Pelodiscus sinensis: one gene and its partners. The protein of the gene in region 2 purifies or fractionates together with the protein of the main gene of each other region. This does not show direct contact. Links are inferred from orthologs where the notes say so. Each region holds a gene or a part of one and is shown on either strand. Other genes may lie near its edges.

Region 1 (7,641 bases), on a different chromosome or scaffold from region 2:
TGATAAACAGTTTATTTTTAAATTATGCGATACATAAAATTAAAATCAGGTGCTTATAGTTATGAAATAAATGGTCTGGTTTTTATTCATGCTATTTAAATCTAAAATGAAGCATTTATAATTATACATTTTGTGGGGACAGAGTTCTGCAGCTGGGGACAGGGGAGAGGGAACAGGGTGCTGGGAGGGCAGAGAACAGGGCTCTGCAGCAGGGGACAGGGTGCCAGTGGGGACAGAGTTTGGAAAGTGGGGACGGGAATAGGGACAGAGTTCTGTAGCTGGGGACAGGAGAGTGGGGAAAGAGTTTGGAGAGTGGGGACAGGAGTGGGGACAGAGTTCTGTGGCTGTGGCCAGGGGAGTAGGGGCCGTGTTCTGTGGCTGGGGAGTGGGGTGCCAGTGGAGGCGGAGAGTCCCCTGCATCTCCCTCCTCCCAGGATTCTCCCCTCCCCTCAGGGAAACCAGCGCGTGCCTGCCCCGGGGCCGACCCCACCCGGCGCAGGGAAGCCCCAAACGCGCCTGCCCTGGGGCCGACCCCCCCACCCGCACAGGGAAAGCCTACGCGCACGCACCTGCCCCAGGACCAACCACTCTCCCCCGATGCAGGGAACCCGCGCATGCCTGCCAAGGGGGCCGACCGCCCCCCCAGCGCAGGGAAGCCCCGCATGCACTTGTCCCAGCGCCAACCCCTACCTGCACGCGCGCACCTGCCCAGGGGACCGACCCCCCCCACCCTCGCAGGGAAACCCCGTGCACGTGTGCGCGCCTACCCCGGGGCCAACCAGTGCAGGGAAGCCCCGCGTGTGCCTGCCCAGAGGGCCGACCCCCGTGGCGCAGGGAAACCCAGCATGCGCTTGTCCCAGCACCAACCCCCCCATGCAGGGAAGCCCCGTGTGCACGCCTGCCCCGGGGCCAACCCCCCCCCCATGTGTGCGCGTGCTGGGAAACCCCCTGCGTGCCTCCCGAGGGGCTGACTCACCCCTCCTTGAGGTAAGTAGTGGGGCTTCTCGGGGGTTGGAGGGAAATGGGGAAGGGGAACACAGGACGCCTCGCAAGGGACTGGTTGAGGCCTCGCGATCAACCAGTAGCTCGCTATCGACCTGTTGGTGACCATGGACTTAAAGGAATGACCGGTGGTAGATACAGAATTTGGTGTCCGCATTTTGTAATCCTCTTAAATTTAGTTGGCTAATTGGCATTTCAGTTCATTTATTACAGTTACCTCGAGTAACACAATAACCAACACAGTTTTGTTTTCAACTGAAAAATGTACGTTTTTATTTACAAGGGGGAGGGGGAGGAGACCTTCAATTGGGAGGGGGAGGAGCTACTCCTGGGAGGGGTGGCCCCTGCGAGTGCTTCTGCGGGGGCAGACCTGGACATGCAGAGCAGGCTGCATTGGGGCAGGCTGCATGGGGAGGTGGGCAGGAGGGGGCATTGCAGGGGCGGCAAAAGGAGGTATTGCAGGAGGGGGCATTGCAGGGACAGGAGGGGGCATGGGCAGTGCTAGGGGAGGGATGGCGGGGGCATAGGGTAAGGCCATGCCATAGTGAATGGCATGGGCTATGTGGGCAATGAGGGTGGTGATGGAGTCAGCCATCCATGTGCACTGGGCCTGGAAGGCGACTCAGGCCTCCTGGCGCCTACTGCAGGTCCCCCTCGACACACTGGCAAATCGATGCCTCGATGCGCTCGACGGCCTGCATGTGCCAGCGAAGGAGCTGGTCCCGGTGGCAGAGCCTGTGCCTGCGTGGTTGGGCAGCTGGGGATGCTGCTGCTGCCTGACTGGAGGGTCCCCGGCTTGTGCTTGGTCCCGCTGCAGGGAAGAGAAGAAAGGATGGGTCAGTCAGGTAGCCCAGACACTGTCCCCACACCTCATGCCCTCCACCCCTGAGCCCAGGTGACACCACAGTAGTGTGGCTTGGGCCCACTCAGTTCCCCGCCTACCCCCCGTGTTGTATGTTTGCATATAGGAGCGCCCCTGGAGTAGGATCCTCCTCCATGTATTGTAACCACTGGTCTGTGTCCTGGCCCCGTGGAGGGCGGGAGGGAGCTTGTGTTGCATTAACCTGTGGAACTCCCTGCCGGTAGAGGCTGTGAGGCTTTGGGCTAATCACTGGTATTTGACAGGGCGCGAGATGAATCCCCACACAGTGCCTGGGAGCACGTCTGGCAAAAGTGGTCTGGGCTCTCAGATCCCCATCACGTAGGATGTCTCCTGGACAGAACCAGGAGAGTGACTGGTGGGGGAAGGGTGTCCCATCCTTGCAGCAAAACTCAGGTGGCCCTAAGGGCAGCCCGAGCGCTTCCCCCGCTTCTCCCTCCCACTATCCCTCACACACGTAGCCCAGGGACATGTGTGGCCGCAGTGGGGACTTCCCTCGGGGAGCCAGCCAAGGCACCAGGAGCAGGCGAGGGGCTCAGTGGGGGCCACGCTCACAGGGCTGTGATGCTGCGGTTTTCCCAGGAGCAGCTGGCTGTGCCTCACAGCCAGGCATGGGACAGTGTGCCGTTCTGCGTGCTGCACCCTTGCAGAGGTGCAGGCTCTGGGCTGAGTCCCTGGGGCCCTAGCCGGTTCCAGCCGGCATCCACCCTTCCCCCGGTCCTGCCAAATGTGTGTGAGCAGCACGGTCTCAGGCGTGCCCTGCCGCGGCCACGTGCCTCTCCGTCACCAGGATGCATATGGTTGCACGTGCTGCTTGCTGCCTAATGCTATACAGCATGCAGCTCACGTGGCCTGAGTGACATGCTCTCCCCCTCCCCCCTCCGGGCGCCTGGCTCCCTCCCCTCCACATTCTACCCTTGTGAGTGCAAAGTGCAAGACTCACTGGTGGATCCTTCCCCGGCCTCGGAGGAAGCGCGGGAGACATCAGGGCTGCTGGAGGGGGCCTGCTGGGTGGCAATGCTGGCCTCATCCCCCGATGCACTGCTGTCTCCTTCCTCCACCTCGGTGGTCCTGGAGACGGGGGAGGGAGAGACGCACACTGCTGTCCACGGGCACATCTGGGGCTTGCAGGACTGGCTGGCCCAGGATGGCGTGCAGCTGGTCGTAATGGGGGCAGGTGTCTGCTCCTGCCCCCAGGCCCTCACTGGCCCGCACGTAGCCTAGGCGCTGCTCCTTGACTTTCGCCCAGACTTGTTCGAGGGTCCGGGCTGGATGGCCTTGCTGATCGAGCGCCTGGGCCATGTTGGTGAAGATGTCCGCGTTGCGGCGCCGCAAGTGGGTCTCGTGGAGGGCCTTCTCCTCCTGCCAGAGGTCGAGCAAGCTGTCCAGCTCCCCCAAGGACCACGATGGGGCTCGTTGTTTGCGGCCCCTGGGGCCTCCTGTGCTGGGGGTGCAGGTGGCTGAGCGCCCGGAGCTGCCATGCTGGCTGCGATGTGGCTGCTGGGCACGGCAGGGGCACTGTGGCAGACCTCAGGCAAGAGGTCTGAGGCATGCTCCTGCCATGTGCGCTCAGCAGCTTGAGTCTGCTTTAAGAGCTTGGGTTACCAAGAAATCCGGGGCTCCTACAGGGTCTCCCAGTGTCCAAACCGCTTTTTTCCGTTTAGCCTGCTTTTGCGCAAAAGTCTTAGCTAGCTGTCTACACTGGCCCTTTTACACAACAGTTTTTCGCACAAAGGACTTTTGCCCGAATGGGAGCATCAAAGCTTTTCCAGAAAAAGCACTGATTTCGGACAGTAGATCGTCAGTGCTTTTGCGGAAAATCAAGCGGCCAGTGTAGGCAGCTGGCAAGTTTTTGTGCAAAAGCAACTACTTTTGCTGAAAAAGTGGCCAGTCTAGACACAGCCCAGGGGTGTGTCTAAACTGGCAATTTTTTGCGCAAAAGCATTTGCTTTTGCCCCCAAACTTGCTAGCTGTCTACACTGGCTGCTTGAATTTGCGCAAGAGCACCGACGTTCTAATGTAAGAATTCAGTGCTTCTTGCACAAATACTTTGACGCTCCCTCTCAGGGATAAGCCCGCTTGTGCAAGAATACTTGCACAAGAGGGCCAGTGTAGACAGGCACCTTAATTTTTTGCGCAAGAAAGCCTGATGGCTAAAATGGCCAATGGGGCTTTCTTGCACAAAAGCGCGTCTATACTCAGCATGGATGCTTTTGCACAAAAGCACTTTTTGCGCAAAAGCATCCGTGCCAATCTAGACGCTCTTTTGCGGAAATACTTTTAAAGGAAAAACTTTTCCATTAAAAGTATTTCCGCAAAATCATGCCAGTCTAGACGCAGCCCAGGTGTTGGGGATGGGGAGCTATGACTCATGGCACTCTATAGGTGTGCGAAAAAATACAGGCAATGGAGATGGGGGGGACAAGGGCTGAAGAATGCAAATACGCTTTCCTCCAGTCTCTCTGGGAGTTTTAAAAACGGAGGTAATGTTTGTAGCGCGGCTCTGCCTGGGCGGCAGAAGACCGGCGGCGGTTTGTTGGTTCCAACAGTCTCCGAAAGTTCCTGTCCTAGCCACGTGGGGGCACGCAACAGGCAACCCCTATTAGCAGCCCCTTTCCGCCAGTGACTCGCGTGGGTCCCGCAAGGAGCGGGTAGGCGGGGACACGTGCGGATGACTGGTCTGGGGCCGGAGACACAGGGTTTCACTAGCGGGGGTGACTAAGGCAGGCTACGGGCGGGGTGCGGGGGCCCCGCTGCAGTAGCGCCAGGCCGCGGGCGGGGTCGCTGTGGGCTGGGCGCGCGGCAGGCAGCTCCCCGCTTTGCCAGCGAGCGCGGCTCAGAGCCTGCGCCCTGCGGCCCTGCCCAGGCAGCGCGTCTCGGCCGGCCCCGCCCCCGCCCCGCTTCGCCCTCGAGACAGGCGGCAGCTGCTGGGAGGCGGAGGCAGCGGCCGCGGCGATGGCGGACAGCGCCAGCGAGAGCGACACGGACGGCGCGGGCGGCAGCGGCGCGGCCCCGGCGGGCGTTGCGGCGGGCCCCGGCGCGCTGGGCCCCGGCGGCAAGGCGAGCGGCATCGTGATCTCGCCGTTCCGGCTGGAGGAGCTGACGAACCGGCTGGCCTCGCTGCAGCAGGAGAACAAGGTGCTGAAGATCGAGCTGGAGACCTACAAGCTGAAGTGCAAAGCGCTGCAGGAGGAGAACCGCGATCTGCGCAAGGCCAGCGTCACCATCGTGAGTGCCGGGCAGGGCCGCGCCCGCTCCCGCTAGCCCGGGAGGGAGGGAGGGAGGGAGGCGCCCGGCTCCCAGGCGCCGTTGGAGGCGGTGCTGGGCCGGGCGGCTTTCCCGCCTCGCTTTGAAGGGGGCCTGCCCGTGGGGGAGGGGAGGGTGCCGGGGCTTCGGGAGGCCCGTGGGCTGCCCCGTTGGGCGAGTGGCCCTGCCGCGGTGCGGGGTCGCCGGGACCCCCCGGCGTGCGGTGCCGTTCCCAGGAGGCGGCTGCTGGAGCGGGTCCCGAGTCGTGAGGGGAAAGCGAGGTGGAGGTGCTGGCTCGGGTAGTGTGTGTGTGGGGGGAGGGAGAGCGCCGTACCGCGGCCATTCCCACACATCTGCCCTAGGAAGGGCCGCCCTGGAGCCGGGCGGCGGGGGCACCATGCCAGCATCCCGCGCGCACCCCCCTTTGCGGGGGCACAGGCGCTTCCCTGACAGGCTCTCGTAGCTGTTTCCTGGCTGCTTGCTGCAGCCTTGCGAGAAGAGGGGGAAAGGGGCTCGCCGAGGAGTTCACATTTACAGCTCCTTGTCTAGCCGCTTGCACTTGCTGCAGTTTGATTGGGTCCTTAGCTCCCCGACCTGATGACATGTGTTAACGTTGTGTGTGCTGAGGAGGATCTCGGGAAGGTGCCACAACCCTCGAGCTTGTTGACACAGAGCTGGGTTTAAAAAACTGGATGTACTAGCATGGTTTGATGTGCTTGCAGCTCAAACAAGTTTCTTCCTGTCAAGCCTTTCAAGTAAAATGGAACTCTCGCCAGCTAAGGACCCAGTCAATCTTCTGAAAGTCTTTAATATATTCTTGCATAAACTGAACGTTTTTCTTTAACACAAATGCAGAAAAATTTAACTCTGGCTAAGTGTTTAAAATGGGTGTCATATGCATTAGTTTATTTAAAATATGTTTTTCTGTTTTAATACCCAGATGAAAAGGAGGATGAGCAATAATCATACTCCTTTAAGATTCTATGTTCTCTGCCTTTTGTTTTACAGTGTTTCTGAAGTATTATGAATATTGCATGGTTATGGCTGTGGTCCTGCCATTGGATCCTAAAATTTGTAACTTGAGAAAACAGGTTGATTTCCTCACCTTAGCTAATTAAATAGATTTGCTTGCTTCTGTACTAATAGATGGGTTCTAAACTGTGTAACTATTTGGATATTGATAATTAAAATGCAAATCTATTAAAATAAGTCAGGGTACTGGATTTGTATAGAATATAGAAATTCCATGAAGTTGCTAAAGCCCACCTGCAGTGGGACTTTGGCTTCCTTCCCTGAGCTTCAGTAAGTATAACTCTGGCCATGCTTAGAGGACCCTCTGTAACCTGTGCACAGCCCCCCAGGTGGCCCCAGACTCCTTGTTAGGTACCATTACCATGGTCTATTTGAGGAACGGTCACTAGTTTATGAACTCTTAAAAGAATAATTAGAACTCTTAACTGCATCATAAATTATGGGATTAAGTATTAATCCTGAGTAAAACAAATACTCAGAGGCTGTTCTAGTTTTTCATTGTTCACATTCTTGTAGATTGGGGTAGGCAAAATACAGATGGAGCCTGGGGCTGAGCAGCAGCCTCAGACAGGCTCCCTGCCTGCCTGTGCCATGTTCGTGGAGCAGATAGTGCGTGAAGTACCCTCTTCTTCTCCGATTTGCGGCACTCTGAGACGCAGATGGCCTCCGTGGCCAATTCCTTTGAGCAGTGGGTAGGGCAGGGAAGGCAGGTAGCCTGTCTGAAAGTCTCGTTGGGATGCCACGTAGGTAAGCAGCTCTCGGCCAGAGCCTACCTCTAGCCCTGTCCCCTCGTTCTCCCTGCCTCATGTAACCCAAACTCTCTGCATCTAAACCCATACTTCCTCCAAAACTCTGCACCCAAATCCCCTGTCCCAGGTCACAGCCCAAATCCCTGCACCCCTGCTCCAGATGTCAACCACTTCCAGATCCTGCACACCTCCTGCTCTCCTCCAGGTCAGAATCCTCTCCTGCACCCATACCCCCTCCAGGACTCTGCACCACAAACCCCTGCCCCAGGTCACAACCTCTCCATTATCCAAACTCCCTTCCAAACCTTACACTTCTTCCTGTCCCTACATTGAGCTCTGTTCTGCACCCAACTTTCATCCCAGCCCTGCACTTTCTCCATTGATGTCATAGAAGAGTGGAGCCCTTGACTACTTATCAAATTCTTGGAGTGCCCTCCCGCATCAAAAATTGCTGCCCTGGTTTATGTGTATAGTGGTTGAGTGATGGTAGTCAGAATTTCCCTGTCAAAACTAATATGCAAGCATATTGTTTATAAATAACCCTGCATATTTGTATTCTTTGAAATTTGGTCATGGTTCTACACACCCTTTCTTAGGAGAATAGACACATTGCTATGCATGATGATCCTTCTAAAGTGCAGATGCTTTAGCTATCATTTCTGGCCTTTCATCTGTGTCTGACCTGGCAAATGTATTACCAATAAAATGGATACCACTTTACTTCTTACTATT
Region 2 (7,079 bases):
TCACTTAAGTTAGTATTTGTATGATTAACACCTACAATGCTAGATGTGCAATTTATAGCATGTCCATGAGAGCCTCAAAGACCTTTTTTTAAACATTTTATCTTATTTTTCAATACCACATTAATTACATTTAATAACTTAATCTACCAGAAAGTACAAATGCCACAGAAGTTATCTTTTTTTTTTTTTTAAATCAAGGATACACAGAGTTTGGAAAAAACATTATGAAAGCCACAATACCTTTACTTGAAAACCAGAGAAATAACATTAACTGAAATGAAACACAGCAAAATAGCCTGTTATATTATATCATTTGTTTCCTTCCCTAACACAAAATCCTTTTTTGTTCGTTATGTTACATGTCAGCAGAAATATGTACAACTCTACACAGTACTTGTAAAAGAGAAACATTGCCAACACGCAGAATCACTAACATGGTGGACTCTCCCTAAATAGAGGGTCCTAATTATTTGAATATTTCAAAATGAATTTGGTAAATAAATTTTGCAAAATATCAGATGAAGAAATAATGTAGACCTTGCGGTCTAATGGGAGCAAAATTAAATGTAATGGCAAAGTCACTCCATATATTGCCTTGTTTGTGTACAAAAGAGAACACTAGAGACTTGTTGAACTATTACTAACAAATGAGAAACTAGTAAGCAGCTACAGCAACTACAATACCAAGTAATTAAAAAATTAAGAGAAATATTGAGAATGTACAGGTCCATGATTTGTATCTCAAACAGAGCTCATTGCAGGATCAAGGCCTTTGTATAAATGAATACAAAATTAATCCACATATTTCCTAAAAAGAAAGCAAGCAAAAGCACCTGGGTCTAAATTCCCTATCATATATGTTTTCTTACATATTTCCTGTGAGGTGACTTTTACAAATATCTTATAGCTTCCAAAATACCATATACACAGACTAGTCAACAAAAGCCTGACAAAATTTCAGACAAAATATAAGCTATCATATTTAAAGAGTAATTTTACACTTTACAAAAATAGCATTTTTTTCAAGTCAGACCATCTAACAATCCATTAAGCAAAAATATCTGTATTACAGCTGTGCCTTTTTCTGCTGAGCTGAAACCTTTGATTCAAAGAGCAAAGTGCATTTCGGGACTTGAGTTTTCCCTTTAAAGGCCACAAATTCAACGAGTAATAGCACAGTATATTAAAAATCAGATCTCTTGCAAGTTAGACACACTATAAGCTAGAACAAAGCCTCTGTGAATCAGTAGTTCCTAATAAAACACTGGTATAGACACACATTCCTTTCTGAAGCCTGTACTAGGCCTCAAAAAACAAGGAGGCAGCCTGGGAGCCAGAAAGTGAGCAATTCACCAGCAAGGCACCCAGGGAAGCCTTTCTCCTTCCTGCCAAATGGTGAGGCACCGAGGAAGTAACACAATGCAGCACCAGAGATTATCTCTGACAAGGAGAGATATTCCAGCTCTTTGATAAATACAATGTCCCTTCCAAAAAAAAAAGCGGCCCTAACCCCAGTTAATGCTGATCTATGAAAGAAAAGCCTAGGGAGAGTGAAGTGGGAACAGTTGTGTAGACTAAGAAAGGAGGACCTAATGAAATGCAAGGTAACAAGTTAGTTCCCATACCCTTTTGGGCAGACAGTTTCTAAATTATGTTTTTCACCTTTGACTTAAAAAACAGAAACTGAATGCAAGGCAGCCTGTGAGTATAGTACACAAAGCCTGCAAACATTCATCTAAATCACCAAGTCACTTGCTTTTGTGAATCATGCTATGGGATATCACGTTTGAAAGACTTCACAATACACACTAAAAAAAACTTCTCCTCTTTCAGGCTATGCAACCAGATATGAGTATTATATAAAATGCGGCGAAAGCAACAGGCATTCACAGGATCCACAAAACCCGACAGATGACCCTGAACCAAGTCTATACAACACACAAGGAGAAACTTCTCAATCATATCAGACTCATGTGGGTCAACTACAAGCATGAAAGGAAAGAAACCAACAAAACTGGAGAGGTCTTCAATCACTAAGAACTGCCACTAGAATGAAGGGCAAAATATTTAGGTCACAAAATCAAGCTGCATGTCAACCAAACTCGGGCATTAAATCTAAAGCTCTGGGCCTAAAATTGGTAAAAGCTCTTATGAGCCTCAACTGATAAGAGTGGGGAAGGAATCAGACTTACATTGTCTCCCCAGTCTTGGCAACATGACCAAGAAACTGATCCAGCACTGGACACGATTCCTTCTTCCCTCGCTTCTCAAAATCTGCAGGTAAGGGAAGCGGGGGAGGGGGATGAGAAAATCCCAGTTACCATCAGTGGCCTTGGTCCCACAAGACGCTTTGCCAAGTCCCAGTGTGCGGGAAAGCGAGACCCCCCCCCCCGGTACCCCACTCCCGCCGCTGTCTGAGGAGGGAACCGCCTGCACCTGAACGGCGGAAAGTCACTCGAAGTTGACTCGCAACTTCCCAGGAGCGGCTGGAGCCACGAGAGAGCCGGCTGCGCCCAGGGAGGCAGGCGGGGGATAAGGGGAGGGGGGACAACGGGGGCGCTGGGCTCCGCGGGGCAAGGGGGGGTCAAGGGCAGAGAAGAGACACTGCCCCCCCCAGCCGCCCACCTACACCGCCCCCCCCCCCGCGCGCTCTCCCTCGTGTCCCAGGGAGCGCTGCCGCCTCAGCGACGGGGGGGAGGGGACTTTGCTCCTCACCGCCTCCTCCGCCCGGCCTGGGGCGCCGCCTCCTCGCCTGCCCCAGGGGCCGTGGCCTCCCTCAGCGCCAGGACCCACCCGCGGCGGCGCGAGCGCCCCCCGCGCGGCCCGGCCCCCACCTTTCAGCGCCTCCTGCAGCCTCTCGACATCCATGGTCCGCCGCGGCGCCGCTCCCGCCTCCTGCCCCCCCGCCCCGCACAGGAAACAGGCACCGGCAGCGGCACGAACACACACCGCGGGCTTAGCAAGCCTCCAACATGGCGCCGGGCCGCCACCGTGCGCGCCCCCGACGGCCCGCCCCCTCCCGGGGGGAGCGGTGGCGCGCCGGGGGGCGGGGCTGGGTGAGGCGGCAGCGCGAGGGGATGGGCTCGGCGCGGGCGGGCGGCCGGTACGCGCACCGCTTGCGCACGTACCGCGGGGAGGGGGCCCCGCCCTCGCCTTCTGCGTTCTGAGTGGGGGCCACCTCGCCCCCCCCACACTGACTGGGGGGGTCACCCCTCCCTCTGCCCCAGGGGCCACCTCGCCCCCCCCACACTGACTGGGGGGGTCACTCCTCCCTCTGCCCCAGGGGCCACCTCGCTCCCCCCACACTGACTGGGGGGGTCACCCCTCCCTCTGCCCCAGGGGCCACCTCGCCCCCCCCACACTGACTGGGGGGGGTCACCCCTCCCTCTGCCCCAGGGGCCACCTCGCCCCCCCACACTGACTGGGGGGTCACCCCTCCCTCTGCCCCAGGGGCCACCTCGCCCCCCCACACTGACTGGGGGGGTCACCCCTCCCTCTGCCCCAGGGGCCACCTCGCCCCCCCACACTGACTGGGGGGGTCACCCCTCCCTCTGCCCCAGGGGCCACCTCGCCCCCCCCACACTGACTGGGGGGGGTCACCCCTCCCTCTGCCCCAGGGGCCACCTCGCCCCCCCACACTGACTGGGGGGTCACCCCTCCCTCTGCCCCAGGGGCCACCTCGCTCCCCCCACACTGACTGGGGGGTCACCCCTCCCTCTGCCCCAGGGGCCACCTCGCCCCCCCACACTGACTGGGGGGTCACCCCTCCCTCTGCCCCAGGGGCCACCTCGCCCCCCCCACACTGACTGGGGGGTCACCCCTCCCTCTGCCCCCCAGGGGCCACCTCGCCCCCCCCACACTGACTGGGGGGGGTCACCCCTCCCTCTGCCCCAGGGGCCACCTCGCCCCCCCACACTGACTGGGGGGGTCACCCCTCCCTCTGCCCCAGGGGCCACCTCGCCCCCCCACACTGACTGGGGGGGTCACCCCTCCCTCTGCCCCAGGGGCCACCTCGCCCCCCCCACACTGACTGGGGGGTCACCCCTCCCTCTGCCCCAGGGGCCACCTCGCCCCCCCCACACTGACTGGGGGGGTCACCCCTCCCTCTGCCCCAGGGGCCACCTCGCCCCCCCCACACTGACTGGGGGGGGCTACCCCACCCCCCTGCCTCTGCCCCAGGGGCCACCTCACCCCCTCTCCACACTGACTGGGGTGCCTATCCGATCCCCCTGCATCTGCCCCAGGGGCCTCCTAACCCCCCCACACACTGACTGGGGGGCTACCCCCTCCCCCTGCATCTGCCCCAGGGGCCACCTCACCCCCATTCCACACTGACTCGGGGGGGGGCTACCCCATCCCCCTGCATCTGTCCCAGGAGCCTCCTAACCCCCCCCAAACACACTCTGTGGGGGGCTACCCCCTCCCTCTGCATCTGCCCCAGGGGCCACCTAACCCCCCCCCACACACGGACTGGGGGGGCTACCCCATCCCCCCTGCATCTGCTCCAGGGGCTTCCTAACCCCCCCCCCACACACACTGACTGGGGGGGCTACCCCATCCCCCTGCATCTGGCCCAGGGGCCTCCTAACCCCCCCACACACACTGACTGGGGAGGGCTACCCCATCCCCCTGCATCTGCCCATGGGGCCTCCTCACCCCCCTTTCCACACTGACTGGGGGGGCTTCCCCATCCTCTCACCCCTGTCATATGGGTTTCCCAATCCCTCCTGCCCCTTCCACAGGGGTCTCCCCTAGCTCCCCCCATCTTCCATACTGACTGGGGGGCTACCCAACCCCTCTCCTACACCCACGTTTCCAATAGGGGCTTCCCCACCCCTTCTGGCCCTTCCACAGAGGCTTCCCAATCTCCCACATTCCACACTCTGACTGAGGGGATACTTAGCCCCCCACACAACATCCGTACTCTGGGGAGGGGTTTCTCGTCTCCCATCACCTTCCACACACACACTTCTGCCACACTCAGATTTGAGGAGACTCCATACTCCCTTACGCACTACCTACACACCAGCTGCACTGTCTCTGCTATTTGACTATTATATTATTTACCTTAAGTATTTTTGCAGTAATTTTTATATGAAAGATGCCATCTAAAATAAGCATGCTTTGTACTATAATACCATTGTACACCATGGTATGAATTACTGTTTTCTATTGCTTTCAGGTATAGGTGCAACTGACCAGCTGCATTAAAAGTCAGTAATCATTTCTTATGTATACATCTAATAGAATTGACTAGGATGATCATCCAGCCAAACTTGGAGGGATATTCCTTATTTGAGATATAATATCTTTGAGTCCCATATCCATTAATTAAGGGGTACACTTTGAGCAGTAATCACGAAAAGGAACATACACAATTATACAAATGCATGATTTTCCACAAATGAAATGAATTATGCTATATATAAGCACACACACATTGACTCACATATTTAGGTGGTCACTCATATTTGATCTGACAATTTTAGAAAAATCATGTTTGGGAATTGATAAATAGGAAATGATAGTTAAACCGCTTTTGCACAACAAAACTATGCAAATATATTTCTAAAAATTACAGAACCTTGATTTTCAATGCTTTCTATTATTTGTAATGGAAAAGCTGATCCTTTCAGTCTGAGACCCTAATTTGGCAAACAGTGGTGTGCTTAATTTTGAGCATGAGTGGTTCCCATTGATGTTGTATTGAAGGCAATGGGACCACTCACATGCTTAAAATTAAGCACATATGTAGTAATTTACAGTGCCATGGCATTAGTTTGAAAATCATCAAAAGGGACTTCTATTGAGAAGTTTAATTAAAATGACAGCCTCTGGCGAGGGAGAAAACAGATCTATGCACTAAACAGAAATACTGAAAAAGTGTGAAGGACTTCTAAAAGCACTTTTAGAAATGTCTTTTCGATATATATTCTTGTAATGGTCCATCAATTTCCCTACACAAAAGCCCACAAAGGACAAACACCCAGAGCAGTGGTAAAATCTGTACAATCTTCCCCATACTTCCCTGGACTGGGTCCCAGAATCAACAGGGATGTTAACTGAAACAGAGAGACGTGGGATTCATGGGAATCTGAGCGCCCAGCTCTGCAGATTTTAACCAGCCAGCCAGCTGCACACACACAAACGTATCTACTGTGGACACTTTGAGGCACTCGGGATCATGATTCCTAGAAGGAAATGGAAATGCCCATAAAAATGAAGTCATAAATAAAGTAGCCAAATATTGCAGCTAACTGTTATTTTAGGCATATGTGAGCTGGCACATCTGCTGTCATTTACTATTAGGTAAAATCCTGAATAGGCCTGGATCATCTCCCACACTCTACCCCGGATCTGAATATGCAGGGACGTGTGCCCATAGATTTCCCTCTTCTCATACAAAAAAAGGAGGAAGGGGGAATCAGTAATCTCTGTGAACCATTCTTCGTCCTCCTCTACCAACTTTTCCTGAGAATACAGAGTATGCATAGCATGAGTTAGAGATTTGACAGACCGCAAGGAACAGTAGGAGGGCCAGAGCATGGCTGATAATGATGTACATTGTCCACCCTCCAATCCCAGTGAGCTTTCCTGAATATTCCAGTTCAGGGTCCTTGGCAGAACAATTCCAATAAAGTTGCATTGCAAGAATGCTGATGTGCTCTAAGAGATTAACCTGGTTGGGGTACAGTCTATTTTCTGGATGAGGACAAAACCAGTAATTTTGACCAAACAATATGGCGTGCTCTGCCTGGGGACCACTTCCCCAGGAGCTCTCTGTGTGAGTTTTGGCATGCATCAGGGATAATCCAGTTCCTAGAGTCTAACCATGTCCACACACATGTTTTTTTTTTCTATAAAGTGGAGAACCACAACCCGTATTTAGAACTCCATGGGCTTTAGAACTGAGATCCTTGTAAACCTTTTGGAGCTTGGAGTACCATTTAATGTTAGTAAGATTAATGCTACTTACCACTTCATATTTATAACATGCTATATAAATCAACTGTTTTGTGATGCAATATAAAAATACACTTTGTTAAAACACACTGTATAAAATGTATTCTAAATGTTTT
Region 3 (7,915 bases), on a different chromosome or scaffold from region 2:
GTCATATGCTGCAGCCCCCTAATCATTTTGGTTGCCCTCCGCTGGACCCTCTCCAATGCGTCCACATCCTTTTTGTAGTGGGGGGCCCAGAACTGAACACAGTACTCCAGATGCTCACTCCTGTTCTGGCCATGAGTCACAGAAATAAATAATCTGTCAGACAATGGATTTTTACTCAGTGTGCAGCTTCATAGGTCATTTACATTCCCTCACTCAGGTCTTAAATTCTCAAAGATTATTTCCCTGTGGTTTCCCATTCCCCTACACTTGGGGTTCTGGGTGTTAGCTCAGTGGGGAGAGGGAGGAAAAGATTGGGGTGAACACCACAGAACTGAAGCCTCACACCTTGGCACTTTCTACAGGCCTGAAGTATGCCTCCTGCTGGTTTGAAAATGTTTACCAGAGCTCTGCTAGAGTGGGCTCTGATGAATTTGAGCCCTGCACTCATCCCATGCATTTCCTAGGAAACCTACTCAATTAACAGTTTACACTGTTTCAAAAAGTTCTTTAATGTTCCTAACAGCAATAAACACAGTCCAGAAACCCTCTGAGGAGAATATGGGGTTGATCCCCAAGGAATAAATAGTTAAACCAGCTGACTGTATACAATGTTATTGTGCTATAAAATGTCAAATAAGGTCTTTTATGAAAGCTTGTAGTGTAATGTCCCTATGTTTTATGTAAGTCACATCTTTCCAGGAGTTACATACAATCCCACAGTAACACATACAGGCAGTCCCCGGGTTACGTACAAGATAGGGACTGTAGGTTTGTTCTTAAGTTGAATTTGTATGTAAGTCAGAACTGGTACATATTGTACCCCAGGTGTCCCCGATTCAGCGCTGCTGAAACTGACCAGCGGCTGACTACAGGAAGCCCGAGGCAGAGCTGCTTTGCCCCGGGCTTCCTCGAATCAGCTGCTGGTCAGTTTCAGCAGCAGCTGACTTGGGGACACCTGGGGTAGAGCAGCTGGGGTGCTGCCAGGTTGGTCCCCGCAGCGCCGAGGTGCGGTGCTGCGGGGACCAACCCGGCAGCGCCCCAGCTGCTCTGTCCCAGGCGTCCAGATTCAGCCACTGTTGAAACTGATCAGCAGCGGCTGAATCGGACACGCCTGGGGCAGAGCAGCTGGGGTGCTGCTGGGTTGGTCCAGTAGCGCCGCACCTCGGCGCTGTGGGACCAACCTGGCAGCCCCCCAGCTGCTCTACCCCAGGCTTCCTGATTTAGCCGCTGCAGAAACTGACCAGCGGCGAGAAAAGCCTGGTCTGCTGGGGAGTGGGGCACACTAGCTGCGTCCCCCCCCCCCCCAGCCGACCAGGGAGACGCGGGCGGCGGGACCGCTGAGACGCGCCACGGTCCCGCCGCCTGCGTCCTCCGCGGCTTTGCTCCGCGTCTCCCTGGTCTGCTGAGGGAGCCCCCCCAGCAGACTAGGGAGACGCAGAGCGGCTTTTCTCGCCGCGGGGTTCCCTCACCCCATTCGTAAGTAGGGATCCGACATAAGTCGGATCCACGTAACCCGGGGACTGCCTGTAATTGCATTTGTAATACAATGGATCTCAGAAGTATTGCATTTAGCTCAGTACAGTTTAATACATTGCAGAAGAGGACACTCCCCACTATTATAGCAACACTTCTCTAGTTTGGTGCATTCCCACCCTCAATAGATGGAAACAGAGGTAGAAAGAGGGTCAAATTGCAACTTCAGCTACATCAATTGTGCAGCTGAAGTCGAAATAGCTTAACTCAGCGTTTGGTGCTGTCTACACAGCAGGAAGTTGAAAGAAGAACACTCTCCCTTCAGCTTCCCTTACCCCATGTGAAATGAGGGTTACAGGAGTCGGAGTAAGAAGTCCTCCAGCTTGACATTATTTTGAAATACAGGCTTGTAGTGTAGACATGCTCCTTGTTATTTTGGAATAACATCAGTTATTCCAAAATAATGTTGTTGTGTAGACGTACCCATAGTGAAATTCATGTTTAGTGTATCTGCCATCCCCATTTCTGTGACTCAGGAATCGTTTGTTGCAAATTGGTAAAGGGCATAGAAGATACATAGGAGTTTACGGGGATCCCATAGATGACTGGTGCTTCCCCATAATGGGGGGACACTAGCTAAGGGGGAAGACATGCGACCATCCCATGTGTCTCTCCTTCAGTGACTCCCCTCCCACTTTGTGTTACCCAGCCCCATGCCACATGAGGGTGAGGATTCTATGTCCTTCTTTCTCCTGCACCTCTCTCCCACCGCATTTGCTACTTTCTCTGCCCTTGGCAGTTGGGCAGAAATCAGGACACAGCTGTTTCTGCCTAAAAGGGACTGAATGGAAGGTGAGAGAGAGAGAGAGAGAGAGAGAGAGTGTGTGTGTGTGTGGTTGTGCCCACAAAAGCTCATGATACCATCTACATGTTTTGTTAGTCTCTAAGGCTCATCTAAACTACATCCTCTTCCGAAAGAGGAATGTAAATGAGGCTGATCAAACATGCAAATGAAGTGCAGATTTACCAATCTTGTGCTTCATTTGCATAATTGCGGGCGAGCGCTTTTTCGAAAAAGGGTTTTTCGAAAAAGAAACTTCAGTCTAGAAGGAATTCTTTAAAAAAAAACCAACCCTTTTTTGAAAGAGCCTGTACTCCTGAAAAAATGAGGTGTATGGGCTTTTTTGAAAAAGGGCTTTTTTATTGAAAGAACCCCATCTCAACTGCGCTTTGTTTTTTGAAAAACCCTTTTTCGAAAAAGCATTCTCCCACTATTATGCAAATGAAGCACAAGATTTGTAAATCTGCACTTCATTTACATTTTCAGTCGGGCTCATTTACATTTCTCTTTCAGAAGAGGAATTTAGTTTAGACGAGCCCTAAGGTGCAGCAGGACCATTCGTTGTTTTTTAACATTTTTATGTATGTGAGAGTGAGCCTCCAAATCAGACTCTCTTATGCAGAAGCAGCTGACAAATGTGTTGTTTAGTTGGGATAATAATGCTTCCTTTTCTGGCTGATCATATGTTTCACAGTGTAAATCGAATTGCATTACTTAACCTGATGCTAATGAAGATGATGACTTCACGTAAGATCAACAAGAAATGTTTTATCCCAAAACAGCATGTTTCTATGAGTAAAGACAATAAATATTGGGAGTATAATGGGAATATTATGATATACCTGAATCCTTCACCAAGGAGACAAAACTGTCAGGATGTTTAGCCTTACAAAAGGAGGGTGACAACCAATGTTCCCTCTAATCTTTTCTATGTGTTGATTATTTCCATCCATGTGCAGAATACATTTTTATGTGTATCAAGGCATTTGCGAATAGGGTTGCCAGATGGTTTAACAAAAAATACCGTACCACCCAAAAAAACCTGGGAAGAAATTCCGTTAAGAAAAAAAAAACAGCAAAAGTTGTTGAGCAAAAAGAAAAAAAAAAGGGATTGAGTAGGGCCGAAATACAGTCGCGGCCCTTTAGTTCCCAGCCTGCTCCATCCTCCCCTTGCCCCAGCCAGCCCAAGCTGTGCTGCGTGTCCCAACCACCCTTCCACAGACACCTGAGCTGGGAAAAACAGAAAATGTTCTGAATTTTTTTACTGGATGGAAGGCGCAAATACCGGTGGCTGTCCAATTCAGTACCGGACACCTGGCAACCCTATGTGTGAAGGTGTACCACTAGCAGAAGCAAAATCCTAGATGTGGGAAATCTGCTAATCAGCTGGAGAGCATTTGAAGCTCTCTTTGAGTGGCTGCACAGGCGCACAGCTTACAGAGAATATTGGTGCCAGCCAACATGGCTGAAAAACACTGAAGACTTCATTAAACAATACAGTATCCTGATTGGGGGGGGGGAAGGGGGAGAGTAGGGTGTCCAATTCCATCCTGAAGCCCTTCCCCCTCCTGCCATCCCCTTGCCATCTCCTCTCCCTGTCACTCTGTTCCCTGAGGACTGGGCCTCAGGGATTACTTGGGGAGCCTCGCACAGGGTGGTCCCCCAGCAGTAGGGTCCCCCTGCACTCCCTTTTTGAAGGCAGACAATTGTAGAACAATTGTAGAACAATCAGAAGTGTTAAACTGAATGTAAAGAAATGAAACCAAGATAGGAACATAGTAGGGGTATCAATAACAGTAAACACTGTGATTGGGATCATTACAGTGTTTCCGAGCATTAAAATTCTGAAAATATAGAATACAGACATAACAATATTTAGTATATTTCAGAAATACAAATTGCAGTTTTTTTTCAATGATTGATGGCAGTGGTAAGCTTCAAATTTGTTTAAAATTGTAAATACAGGGCATCTCTGCTATTAGTTCGCCCCATATATATCCGTTTCATACTTAAATCGTGTGCAACACAAACCAAACAACCACAAACAAAAACCCCAACCAATTTGTGCAAATGGAAGTCAGCTGCAGGAGAAAAAAAATCACCACTTTGGGTGTAAGTCCAAGTTTTTTGGAACAGAACTTGGACTTGTAGCGAGGACAGCCGGTACATCAATACAATGTGTTCAACTCCTGTCTACAGCTATCAGGGGGTAGGGAAACTAAAGTTTAGCGTTTCATTTTAATTGTGGAAAACACTGGTTTTTATGAGCAGCTAATGCTGGGGTTCTGCAGTCCCGGGCCAGTAGGCTGTGTGGGGTGCCTGTTGTCACACCCAGCCGCGCCTTTCCAACGCTTTGACCGGCCCCTTCTCAACTCCCTCGTGCTCTGCTAAGGAAACGCCTCCCCGTGCCGGACCCACAGGCAGAGGCGCTGTGGTGGAAAGGGAGGGGCGGCGGCTCTGCGAACGCAGGGACTGCGGGAAGGGCGGAGCGCGCCTGTGTTCCCCGCCCCTCCAGGCCCCGCCCCCTCGAATCCCCGCTGCGCCTGCGCGCGTTTCTCGTGACGCTGGATGACTCTACCCCCAGGCCAGTCGGTGACCCCGGAAGCGGAAGTGCAGGACGGCGGGGAGTGCGGATTCCGGTTCCGGCGGCGCTGGTGCCGCTGCTGGGGGGAGCCCAGCAACCGCCTCTTCTCCCACCTCCTCCTCCCGGCCCCGCCATGCTCCCCGTGTTCCAGAGCAGCCGCCGCGAGTTCACCTTCGGGCCTTGGAAACTCAGCGCCGCCCAGACCCACATCATGAAATCTGCCCAGGCCGAGAGGTGGGGGCGGGCTGCGGGCCGGCGGGGGTTGGGCTGCCTGCGCCCGCTCTACGGGCTGCGGCCGGGCGGGCGCCCGTGGACGCTCTGAGTTGTCAGCCTGAGGTTTGAGCCCGGGTCTGACTCGGGTCAGCAGGCCCCCGGGATTTGGGCGCTAACGTCTGGGCTCCTGCCCTGTCATTCCGCAGTGTGGATACAGCTTAAACCACAACCCATGTGCGGTCTGTGGAGAGCAGCTTGGATGCAATAGCACAGGTGTCGGACCTCGGGCCAGCGATTGTAAATCTAGGTGTTTGACGCCATGTAACGGTTGCTCAGACATGAGCTTGGAAACATTAAGGCTAAACTAGAGACCTTATATAATGGCACAGCTGTACCGCTTTGTCTCCTGTGTAGCTAGCTATGATGATAGAAGGGCTTAATTAAACTGACCCCCCGCCCCCAAGCACCGGGAGCTAGGGATGTAAAATCCTGTTCAATAAGTTAACCAGTTAAACATTAAGCTGCTGTTACCTGGTATGCATCACCTGTTAAGGGTGATGCTTACTGGGTAGTTGGTTAACCAGTTACTGCATCCTGCTGGGGATGAGAAATGGTGTCACCAGTAGGGATGCAAAAGTATAACCATTTAAATGGCTAGCCCATAAGCCTGGTGTTAGCAGTTAATATTAACAGTTATATGCAGGCTCCCACCTTGCTCCTGGGGAACCGGCTGCCACCCTGCACTACTGGCTCTAGCAGTTATACAACTACCCACTTTTTAACATCCCTAGTTGGCAGGAGAGGCTCTACCCAATGACATAGCACTTGCTGTATCAGTGCTTTTGTGGATTAAATGTATGTTGGTGGGGGTATGTGTGTTCCACACTCCTGACCAATAAAACTTGTACTGATAAAAGTGTTAGTGTAGACATAGTCTGAGTCCATAACCATTGGGCCTTCAGACCTGGGTTTACTACATAGTGTAGGCAAAAACCTTGGCAAAACCCAGCTATCTTCTCAAGAGCCACAGCAAAGAGCACTACTAATAAAAGGGAACCCCAATAAATGTAAAGTGCATATTGCCACCATTTGGGGTCAAGAATTTCTTTTGCATCCTTTGTCTGATGTTGTGGGTCATCTTTTTGTTTGAGAGGTAGGGATGTGGTGTTTTTCTTCTTCTTCCCAAGGACATTTATTGTGGACTCTTCAGCTCATGTTTTCTTACCAAATGGACCACATGCCTTTTCAGATGTGGCAACAATTTCTGTTTCTATAAAGCAGTAGGAGAAACTGCTTCCTTCAGACTTGACTATTGTTTGTTTGAAACCTGAATGTTAAACTAAATATAAATAGTTCAGATACTAACAGTAATATTTGAGTTTGTTTACAAGCAACTTTTTTTTGATAGTTTGTTATCTCTGGATCTCATATCCTATAGTAAATTAAATCTGTCATACTTCAGCTATTTTAAGTCTCACCAATATAGGACTTTCAGATTGTTGCATTAATTTTTGTGAGATTCATTTGCTTATCATAAACTTATTTTGGAAGGTACTCTTTGTATAAGTCTGCCTTTTATTCAAATGTTTGTAAAGTCCTGAATAGACTTTTAAATTAAAAATGTCATTTTATTGAATTGCATTCCATAGCAAAGTGTATGATAAACATGAGGAGATGAAATCATAAGGTTATGACATTATTTACCAAACTATCTGGGAGTCATAGTCATACAGCCAGATCGCATGGTGTTTGTTGTGAGCTGCACAAACACAGTGCAATTCTACTCTTAGGAGCATTTTTTGCACTCACTTTTTTCTCATTCTATCTGTGCCTGATGTGTCTATTTACAATTACAGACCGGTAAATTTACCAGGTAAATTAGTTGAAACTATAGCAAAGAATAAAATCATCAGACACATAGATGCACATAATTTGTTGAGGGAAAGTCAACATGGTTTCTAAAAAGGGAAATCATTCTTTACTAATCTACAAGAGTTATTTGAGGGGGGCCAACAAATATGTGGACAAGGGGGATACAGTAGATATAGTGTACTTAGATTTCTGGAAAGCCTTTGACAAGATCCCTCACCAAAGGCTCTTAAGTAAAGTAAGTTGTCATGGGACAAGAGGAAATGTCCTCTCATGGAGTGAAAACTGGTTAAAAGACAGGAAACAAAGGGTAGGAATAAATAGTCAGTTTTCAGAATGGGGAGGGGTAACTAGTGATATCCCCCAAAGGTCCGTACTGGGACCAATGCTATTTAACCTATTTATAAATGATCTGGAAAAAGGGGTAAACAGTGAGGTGGCAAAATTTGTAGGTGATGCTAAACTGCTCAAGATAGTTAAGAACAAAGCAGATTAACAAAGCAGACTGTAAAGAGCTCTCACCAAACTAAGTCAGTGGGCAACAAAATGGCAAATGTAATTTAATGCTGGTAAATGTAAAGTAATGCACATTGGAAAAAATAATCCAAACTATACATACAAAATTATGAGGACTGATTTAGATATAACAACTCAGGATAGAGATCTCGGAGTCATTTGTGGATAGTTCTCTGAAAACATCCGCTCAATGTGCAGCAGCAGTCAAAAATGCAAACAATGTTAGGAATAATTAAAAAGGGATAGAGACTAAGAGAATATCTTATTGCTTCCATAAAAAACTATGGTACACCCATATCTTGAAGACTGTACAGCTGCAGTTACCTCATAAAAATATATTGGCATTGGAAAAGGTTCAAAAAAGGGCAATACAAATGATTAGGGGTTGGAACAGGTCCCACATGAAGAGAGATTAAAAA
Region 4 (7,841 bases), on a different chromosome or scaffold from region 2:
TTGCTTATTGGATAGTCGACTAGTCCTTAACATCTTTAGATGATACTCGACCTACTTCGTCAAACACTGAGCTCTATAGATGAAAAACACTAAGTAAGACTATCAAAATGTTATACTGTGAAGAAATTACTATAAATACTAAATTATTAAACACTTACAAGTACTAATATCAAACATAAGCACTTAAACTATTTAAGACCCCAATCTTGCAATAAGGTTCATGCAAGTGTGAGGATCATGCAAGTGTAATGCTCTCTTCATACCGAGCTTGCTGCAAGATTGTGGCCTTTTTTTAAAGGTCCTTGACAGGATCTATTTGTCATCCAGCCATTGCAGCTACAGAAACCCAGAATACATACTATGACACCTATTTGTCTAGAAGACACAGGTCTCTCACTATGTCCTTTGAATCCTTTTTCCATGGTCAGTCTATAAGGATATTTAAGAACCATCAGTACTGTGCGATAGTTTTTAATTTTTATGGTTCTCCTGATGATTCAATGCCCTTTGAAATATGAAACATGAAACACACTACATAAAACCATATTCTAGATTCACTAACAATAAAATTAAGGGGTTATTTTTACACATGAACGCACTTTGCAATTACTGATGAAGTCTACTGAACAGATGTCATGATAGAAATTTCAACTGCAAAATTAATACAGAGCATACACTACTGTACCTGTCAGGTAAGATGCAAACTGTTTTGGTCCACAACGGATTGCATAGTGGGTGGTGGTTTTCACTGCTTTTTGCTCAGTCTGTGAAGTATTCCTGGGAATAAAAAGCGTGCCATCTGATGTTTCCCCCCACCACCTCACTCGGATGAGAACAGTAGCAGGCGGCTTAGAGACCATCCACAAGATTTTACTGACTGTTAACTTCAGAAAGCAGCGCAACTGGCCTTCAACAAGAGGTGGTAAACTTGTAGAAGGGGAGATATCACTGATTCCTGCAGAGATACAAAAAAGAAACAGTATTACTTCTCAAAAACATAAATGCAGTTAACATATTCGAGATACAGATCACTTTATAGAGTTAAAAAAATACTTGGTGTTTCTAATATTCTATGCCACACTTAGGGTTACCCTATAGATGCATATAACATTACAGCCTACAACATGGCTACTCAACGCACGGCCCATAATATCAGCGGCCTGCAGCCTGTCTGTTTGCTGCCTGCGTTGTGGTTTGGGTTTACATGGGGCTCAACACGTGGCTTGCGGGTGGGATCTTTTGAACCTGGCCTCCACTGGGAACACGCTCCACAACGGCGAGTCAATATAATGATCTTCTGTTGATATACATTTTAGTAGTTAAATTCCTGGACTGTCATTGCTCATTAAGGGCATGTCTACACTGCAACACTATTTGGAAATAACTAGCACTATTCTGAAATAACTTAGTCCATGTCTACACAGCAGGCAGTTATTTCGAAATAGTGTCAAAATACTGTCAAGCTAGAGGGTTTCTTACTCCGACTCCTGGAGTGAGGGAAGTTGGAGGAAGAGCACTGTATTTCAAAATAAGTGCTGTGTAGATGCTCCCTATTTCAAAATAAGATTCACAATTGATGTAGCATAATTTGCGTAGCTTATTCGAGTTAAGCCGTGCAGTATAGATGCACCCTAAAAGTGCTGTCATATGGGTGGTAATTGGGTAAATATTGCATTTTATTAATATCAACAGATCTGACTTAAATGGGGCCTAAGTGTTGTGTAATCTTGCCTTAATCTTTGTATTCATGCCCATCAGTGTGAAAGAAGCTATTTGCATGTATATACAACCACACTTCAGTTGCAGCCCTCAACATGTACTGTAAGTATCATTATGGGCCCCAGGGCTTCCAAAATTGAGTAGCTCTGGCCTAACAACATATGTACATGGCAAGTTTTTGGCATTACTGTAACACACCTCATGTTCACATCAGGGATGTAAGGGACTAAACAACTTGCTTCCCCCCTCCCCTTGCTGCCTCTGTGTCAAGGTCTGCAATGAGGGGGAAGCAGAAGCCGGTGTGAGGGGAGGAGGAGGGGAGGCAGAGCCACAGGGGTTCCAAAGCCAGGAGTGCAGAGCGACAGCAGAGGTAGCGAGCCCCACCACGCCTTTATCAGCTAATCAAGTAGCTGATTATCCGCAATTTAACATCCGTAGTTCACATACAAAATATATTGCAACATATATATACTGCTTAGTGAGGAGGGAGAAGCAGTAACAGGAAACTTGGAAATGGCAGAGATGCTCAATGACTTCTTTGTTTCGGTCTTCACCGAGAAGTCTGGAAGTGTGCCTAACATAGTGAATACAAGCAGAGAGGGTAAGTTTAGAAGATAGGATACACAAAGAACAAGTTAAAAATCACTTAGGAAAGTTAGATGTCAGCAAGTCACCAGGTCCTGATGAAATGCATCCCAGGATACTCAAGGAGCTGATAGAGGAGGTATCTGAGCCTTTAGCTATGATTTTTGAAAAATCATGGCAGACAGGGGAGATTCCAGAAGACTGGAAAAGGGCAAATATTGTGCCCATCTATAAAAAGGGGAATAAGAACAACCCAGGAAACTACAGACCAGTCAGTTTAACTCTGTCCCAGGGAAGATAATGGAGCAGGTAATTAAAGAAATCATATACAAACACTTGGAAGGTAATAAAGTGATAGGGAATAGCCAGCATGGGTTTGTGAAGAACAAGTCATGCCAAACTAATCTGATAGCTTTCTTTGATAGGATAACGAGCCTTGTGGATAAGGGAGAAGCGGTGGATGTCATATACCTAGACTTTAGTAAGGCATTTGATACGGTCTCGCATGATATTCTTATTGATAAACTTGGCAAATATAACTTAGATAGGGCCACGATAAGGTGGGTGCATAATTGGCTGGATAACCGTAGTCAGAGAGTTGTTGTTAACAGTTCTAAATCCCGCTGGAAAAGGATAACAAGTGGAGTTCCTCAAGGGTCTGTTTTGGGACCCGTACTGTTCAATATCTTCATCAATGATGTAGATATTCAGATAGAGAGTACGCTTATTAAGTTTGCAGATGATACCAAACTGGGTGGGGTTGCAACTTCTTTGGATGATAGGGACATAATTCAAAATGTCCTTAGCAAGTTAGAGAAATGGTCAGAGGTAAACAGGATGAGGTTTAATAAAGAGAAATGCAAAGTGCTCCACTTAGGAAGGAACAATCAGTTCCATACATACAAGACGGGAAGTGACTGTCTAGGAAGGAGCATGGCGGAAAGGGATCTAGGGGTCATAGTGGACCACAAGTTGAATATGAGTCAACAGTGTGATGCTGTTGCAAAAAAAGCAAATATTATTCTAGGTTGTATCAACAGGTGTGTTGTAAGCAAAACTTGTGAAGTCATTCTGCCGCTCTACTCTGCACTAATTAGGCTTCAGCTGGAGTACTGCGTCCAGTTCTGGGCGCCACATTTCAAGAAAGATGTGGAGAAATTGGAAAGGGTACAGAGAAGAGCGACAAGAATGATTAAAGGTTTAGAGAACATGACCTATGAAGCCAGGCTTCATGAACTGGGCTTGTTTAGTTTGGAAAAAAGAAGATTAAGGGGGGACATGATAGCAGTTTTCAAATATCTAAAAGGGTGTCACAAGGAGGAAGGAGAAAATTTGTTCCTCTTGGTTTCTGAGGACAGGACAAGGAGTAATGAGCTTAAAGTGCAGCAAGGGAGGTTTAGATTGGACATTAGGAAAAAATTCCTAACTGTCAGGGTGATCAAATATTGGAATAAATTGCCAAGGGAGGTGGTGGAATCTCCCTCTCTGGAGATATTTAAGAACAGGTTAGATAGACATCTGTCAGGGATGGTGTAGACGGAGCTTGGTCCTGCCTTGAGGGCGGGGGGCTGGACTCGATGACCTCTCGAGGTCCCTTCCAGTCCTATTATTCTATGAATACACATTCACACCACCGCTGAGACTGTGACTGCAAAACCAACCCTAAGCCACAATGAAAATCGGAAAGTGGTGATGTTACAACTTGTCTGCCCAGCACCACTCTGCAACACGCCCCCCTACCCTTCAGTGAAAGGCCTCCTAGGGCGATTGATGGACAAACTGCAGATCTCTTCTACATCTCCACGCCTATAGCCTCTCCCGACTCCAATGTGCCCTCGGGGTACGTGTTGCGCCAGCAGTGTTACTCCCTATTGCCGATATGGTTGTAAGTACCCACCAAGACCCATATGGCAACTCCCAGCCCTCTGCGGCACCGCAAGGGCACACCCCACATTATAATCCACACAGGCCGCCATGTACCTGCCACCCCCCACAGAGCGCCAAGGTGCTGGCCCCCAGAATCGCGACCCTCCACAGCGCGCAGGGTGCTGCCCCCCCTTCAGATGCCCATCAGAAGATCTGCCCTCTCCTACGGGGCCCGGAGCACCCACCACTACGTGACCGGCGCCACCCACTGCTCGGGGGCCCGCTGCGCCCCGGGGCACCGCCTCCCCGGCTACCGCCCCCGGCCCCGGGGGCCACCCCCCGGCAGCTGCTGCCCCCGCGCAGGGTTCTGACCTCTCCTCTTGCGGGCGGCCCCGCCGCCTCCCACCCTGGGAGCGGGGCCCTTGGGCCTCTTCTGCTTCATCCCCACCCCCCAGCCGCTCCCCCGCGCCAGGCGCGGCCCGCAGCTACCGCCGCTGCCCGGCAACCGCCGCCGCCGCCGCCTCAGCCCGCCGCGGGGCCCGCTGGGACAGGGCGGGAGAGTCTCCGAGCCGCAAGCAGAGCCGCGCAAGCGCACAGCCCAGCGGTAAGAACAACAATCCCCAGGGGGCGCTGCGGCCCCGCTTCCGGCTAAAGAAGATCGCGCGAGGACGGGCACTTCCGGCAGGGGAGGCGCTCCCCGGCATGAGCCCTACCCGGGGGCGGACTCCGTTTCCCGTGGTGCAGTGGGGCGTGGCAGCAGGCACTTCCGGCGCCGGTGGGTGGGGGTAGCCGCTGCTGGCTCGGCGGGGTGATACCTGCCCTTGTGTCTCGGCGTCTTCCCATCATGTCGACCCTGGAGAAACATCTGCACCTGGGCCGCCTGCCCCCACGGCCCGCTGTGCCCGGCGGGGGCGGCCAGTCGGGATCCAAGATGCGCATGGGGTAGGTGGGGGAGCGGGCAGGCGGCGCTGGCCCCCCCGGCGGGGAGGGTCCCTGTCCGGGGCTGGCAGAGCCGGCTGGAGACGGGGGCGGGCTGAGTCTAGGTCACTGATCCCGGGGCGGGAGGGGCGGGGGTTGGGGGGAGACGGGCATTTTACCACTGGGAAGTTGGAGACCAGCAGAGGAGGCGGGGGCGCCTGTTGCGGGGGGATGGGCAGAGGGGGCGGGGGTTGCTGGGGGGATGGACAGAGGAGGCGGGGGAGCCTGTTGGGCGGGGGTTGCTGGGGGGATGAGCAGAGGAGGCGGGGGAGCCTGTTGGGCGGGGGTTGCTGGGGGGATGGGCAGAGGAGGCGGGGGAGCCTGTTGGGCGGGGGTTGCTGGGGGGATGGGCAGAGGAGGCGGGGGAGCCTGTTGGGCGGGGGTTGCTGGGGGGATGGGCAGAGGAGGCGGGGGAGCCTGTTGGGCGAGGGTTGCTGAGGGGATGGGCAGAGGAGGCGGGGGCGCCTGTTGCGAGGGTTGCTGGGGGGATGGGCAGAGGAGGCGGGGGCGCCTGTTGGGCGGGGGTTGTTGGGGGGATGGGAAGAGGAGGCAGGGGAGCCTGTTGCGGTGGGCGGAGGGGGTGGGCAGAGGAGGCGAGGGGTGCCTCTTGTGGTGGGGTGGGCAGAGGAGCTTTACATTTTGGAACCTTATGTCCTCGTGTTGCAAGTCTTTTTTAATTTGCTGGTTGGGGCCTTTTTTAACAGGGCGACAGGCACACAGACTTTAATTTTGTACTTTGAGGGAGACTGGCCAAGGAGGTGAGGGTCTCTGTTGTGGGGTGAGGAGAGAGTTGTTGCAGGTGGGAGGATGCTGGTTGTGCAGCGGTAATGGGGATTGGCAGAAGGAGGCGAAGATATCCCTTGTAGGGTGGATAGGGATTGACAGGACAGGCAAGGGTGCCAGTTGTGTGCAAGGGGACATTTGGGACATTTACATCAGGTATGGGAGAGGAATTTAACATATTAACTTGAGATGTGTTTCAGCAGATTGAACAGTTTCACTAGAGGGTAACTTGACACTAATAATTATAATAGTTTTTGTTGGAAATTCAGTCTTGAATAAGGATATTCACAAATGTCTATGAGATGTTTATGGACCTGGCTTATCAGGCCATCTGCCTGTTGACATGAAGAAAATTAGATGAACCAGTACTACTGTGTGAAGCTGGGTGGTAGTTGAACTCTGCCAGGCAAGTAAGTCCTTGCTGAGCAATCTGCCACCCGGGATAGCACAATGCAGAGCAAACAGGTATCAGCTTTATAAACAAATTTAAATGTATTAGTAGGGGACTGTGCCCCCAGGCACCAAGGAGGGCTGGGCTGCTGCCATGCCAGCCCAGGTCCCTTCGCCCTTCTCCCCTTCCTTCCCCCACCGGCCTGGGTCACTTCTCCCTCCCCCAACTCTAACCCTCCCTCTCCTGGCCGCATGGTGTGCTAGGCCCAGCTGTAGTCCCAGCAGCTGGGGAGGTGCAGGATTGGCTGCCTGCCCTGCGTGGGGCATAGTGAAGCATAGGTAGTGCCGTGTGCACACGAAGCTCCGGGGCACTGCAGCCTCTTATGGTGGGGCAAGCTGCCACAGGTGGGCTGCTGTTCCGACCTCTCCCCTGTGTGGTCCTGCCTGTGCTGCTCACTGTCCCACCCCTGCCTGAAGAGCCCAGGGCTGCGTAGGTACCCGCCGGGAGCAGAAAGGAGGAGCAGACAGGTTTGTGTGGTGGCTCGGGGGGTGCTCTGACAGCTGCGGTAAGTGCAGCTGCTGGGGAGGGGGTAAGTCTCTGTGGGGCATCTGGAGTTCAGGCAGTCAGGCACCTTACTCGGGCTCCCCAAGAGCCTGGGGGCAGGGAGACCCTCGAGCCTGCTTCTGGCACTCAAGCCTGACTGGGAGCCCCTCTCCTAATGCTTGTCCCTGGCTGCTGTCTCTCTTCTCTCTCCACCCGCGACCCCCCCCCCCCCCGGACCTGGGCTGTCATGGCTGCCATGTGGGGTCTGCTGGCTACTGTGCCATGTTTCTTGGCATTGAAAGCCCTGTGGGGTGAGGGTGGAGAAAGGGGAGTAGGGGCTTGGTTTAAAATAGCAATTCCAAGTGGCATGGGGAAGCAGTGAGGTCGGGCTCAAGCTGGGATATGGGGGAGAGAGGGAGGAGGCAGGCTGGGCACAGAGTGACATGATGATGTCAGTCTGTCGTCCTGCAGGAAAAGCTTTTTAATATAGAGACAGAGATGAGAGCTAAGCCCTAGTCAACACTTAAAATTTAGAGCAGCCTTGCTCCATGACTCATGGAGATGAAAAATTTATTCCCAAGTGCTATGGTTCAGCTAGATGCAGTTAGCTCAACAGAATTCTTCTGTCAGCTTAGCTCGATTACCTATGTGAATTGAAAAACCTTTCATTGACACTGGAAGTGTCTACCCTATGGAGCTGCAGCTCTGCTGCTGTAGTGTAGATGTGCCCTGAGAGAGAAAGAGTGGCTAATGTTTTTTGTGAGGCTCTTCCAGATGGAGGAGAGATGAAAGAAAGGAAATGGTTAGGAAAGACTCTTGGCAGGAGCATAGTAATAGAGATGGTAAAAGGGAGATGATAGGCTGGAATTAAGGGCACTTTTAAATGTGAGAGGAAAAATCTTGAGCTTTTATATGGAAGAAAAGGAGGTGTCCAAGTTAAGGACATGCTTATAACATTCTGAGAGGAATGTCATCT

What was found.
Region 1: the proteins of PPP4R2 (region 2) and CCDC6 purify together in Homo sapiens (co-immunoprecipitation; 3 studies listed by BioGRID and IntAct, counting the BioPlex papers as one, with this or other methods). This does not show direct contact. The link is inferred for Pelodiscus sinensis from reciprocal best matches to the Homo sapiens genes PPP4R2 and CCDC6.
Region 3: the proteins of PPP4R2 (region 2) and TIPRL purify together in Homo sapiens (affinity purification with mass spectrometry; 5 studies listed by BioGRID and IntAct, counting the BioPlex papers as one, with this or other methods). This does not show direct contact. The link is inferred for Pelodiscus sinensis from reciprocal best matches to the Homo sapiens genes PPP4R2 and TIPRL.
Region 4: the proteins of PPP4R2 (region 2) and PPME1 purify together in Homo sapiens (affinity purification with mass spectrometry; 3 studies listed by BioGRID and IntAct, counting the BioPlex papers as one, with this or other methods). This does not show direct contact. The link is inferred for Pelodiscus sinensis from reciprocal best matches to the Homo sapiens genes PPP4R2 and PPME1.

Annotation. Positions count from the first base shown.
Region 1 is NC_134718.1:22,305,024-22,312,664, reverse strand, and holds the start of CCDC6 (coiled-coil domain-containing protein 6), read left to right. Parts: upstream 1-4,639; 5' UTR 4,640-4,837; coding exon 4,838-5,110; intron 5,111-7,641.
Region 2 is NC_134721.1:11,131,035-11,138,113, reverse strand, and holds the start of PPP4R2 (serine/threonine-protein phosphatase 4 regulatory subunit 2), read right to left. Parts: upstream 3,010-7,079; 5' UTR 2,869-3,009; coding exon 2,835-2,868; intron 2,509-2,834; exon of another isoform or gene 2,437-2,508; intron 2,275-2,436; coding exon 2,193-2,274; intron 1-2,192. UniProt on the Homo sapiens protein: Regulatory subunit of serine/threonine-protein phosphatase 4 (PP4). May regulate the activity of PPP4C at centrosomal microtubule organizing centers.
Region 3 is NC_134711.1:149,454,488-149,462,402, forward strand, and holds the start of TIPRL (TIP41-like protein), read left to right. Parts: upstream 1-4,900; 5' UTR 4,901-5,031; coding exon 5,032-5,132; intron 5,133-7,915. UniProt on the Homo sapiens protein: May be a allosteric regulator of serine/threonine-protein phosphatase 2A (PP2A). Isoform 1 inhibits catalytic activity of the PP2A(D) core complex in vitro. The PP2A(C):TIPRL complex does not show phosphatase activity.
Region 4 is NC_134711.1:322,164,264-322,172,104, forward strand, and holds the start of PPME1 (protein phosphatase methylesterase 1), read left to right. Parts: upstream 1-4,835; 5' UTR 4,836-5,014; coding exon 5,015-5,112; intron 5,113-7,841. Other genes in the region: C2CD3 (C2 domain-containing protein 3), read right to left, coding at 686-955, 4,543-4,612. UniProt on the Homo sapiens protein: Demethylates proteins that have been reversibly carboxymethylated. Demethylates PPP2CB (in vitro) and PPP2CA. Binding to PPP2CA displaces the manganese ion and inactivates the enzyme.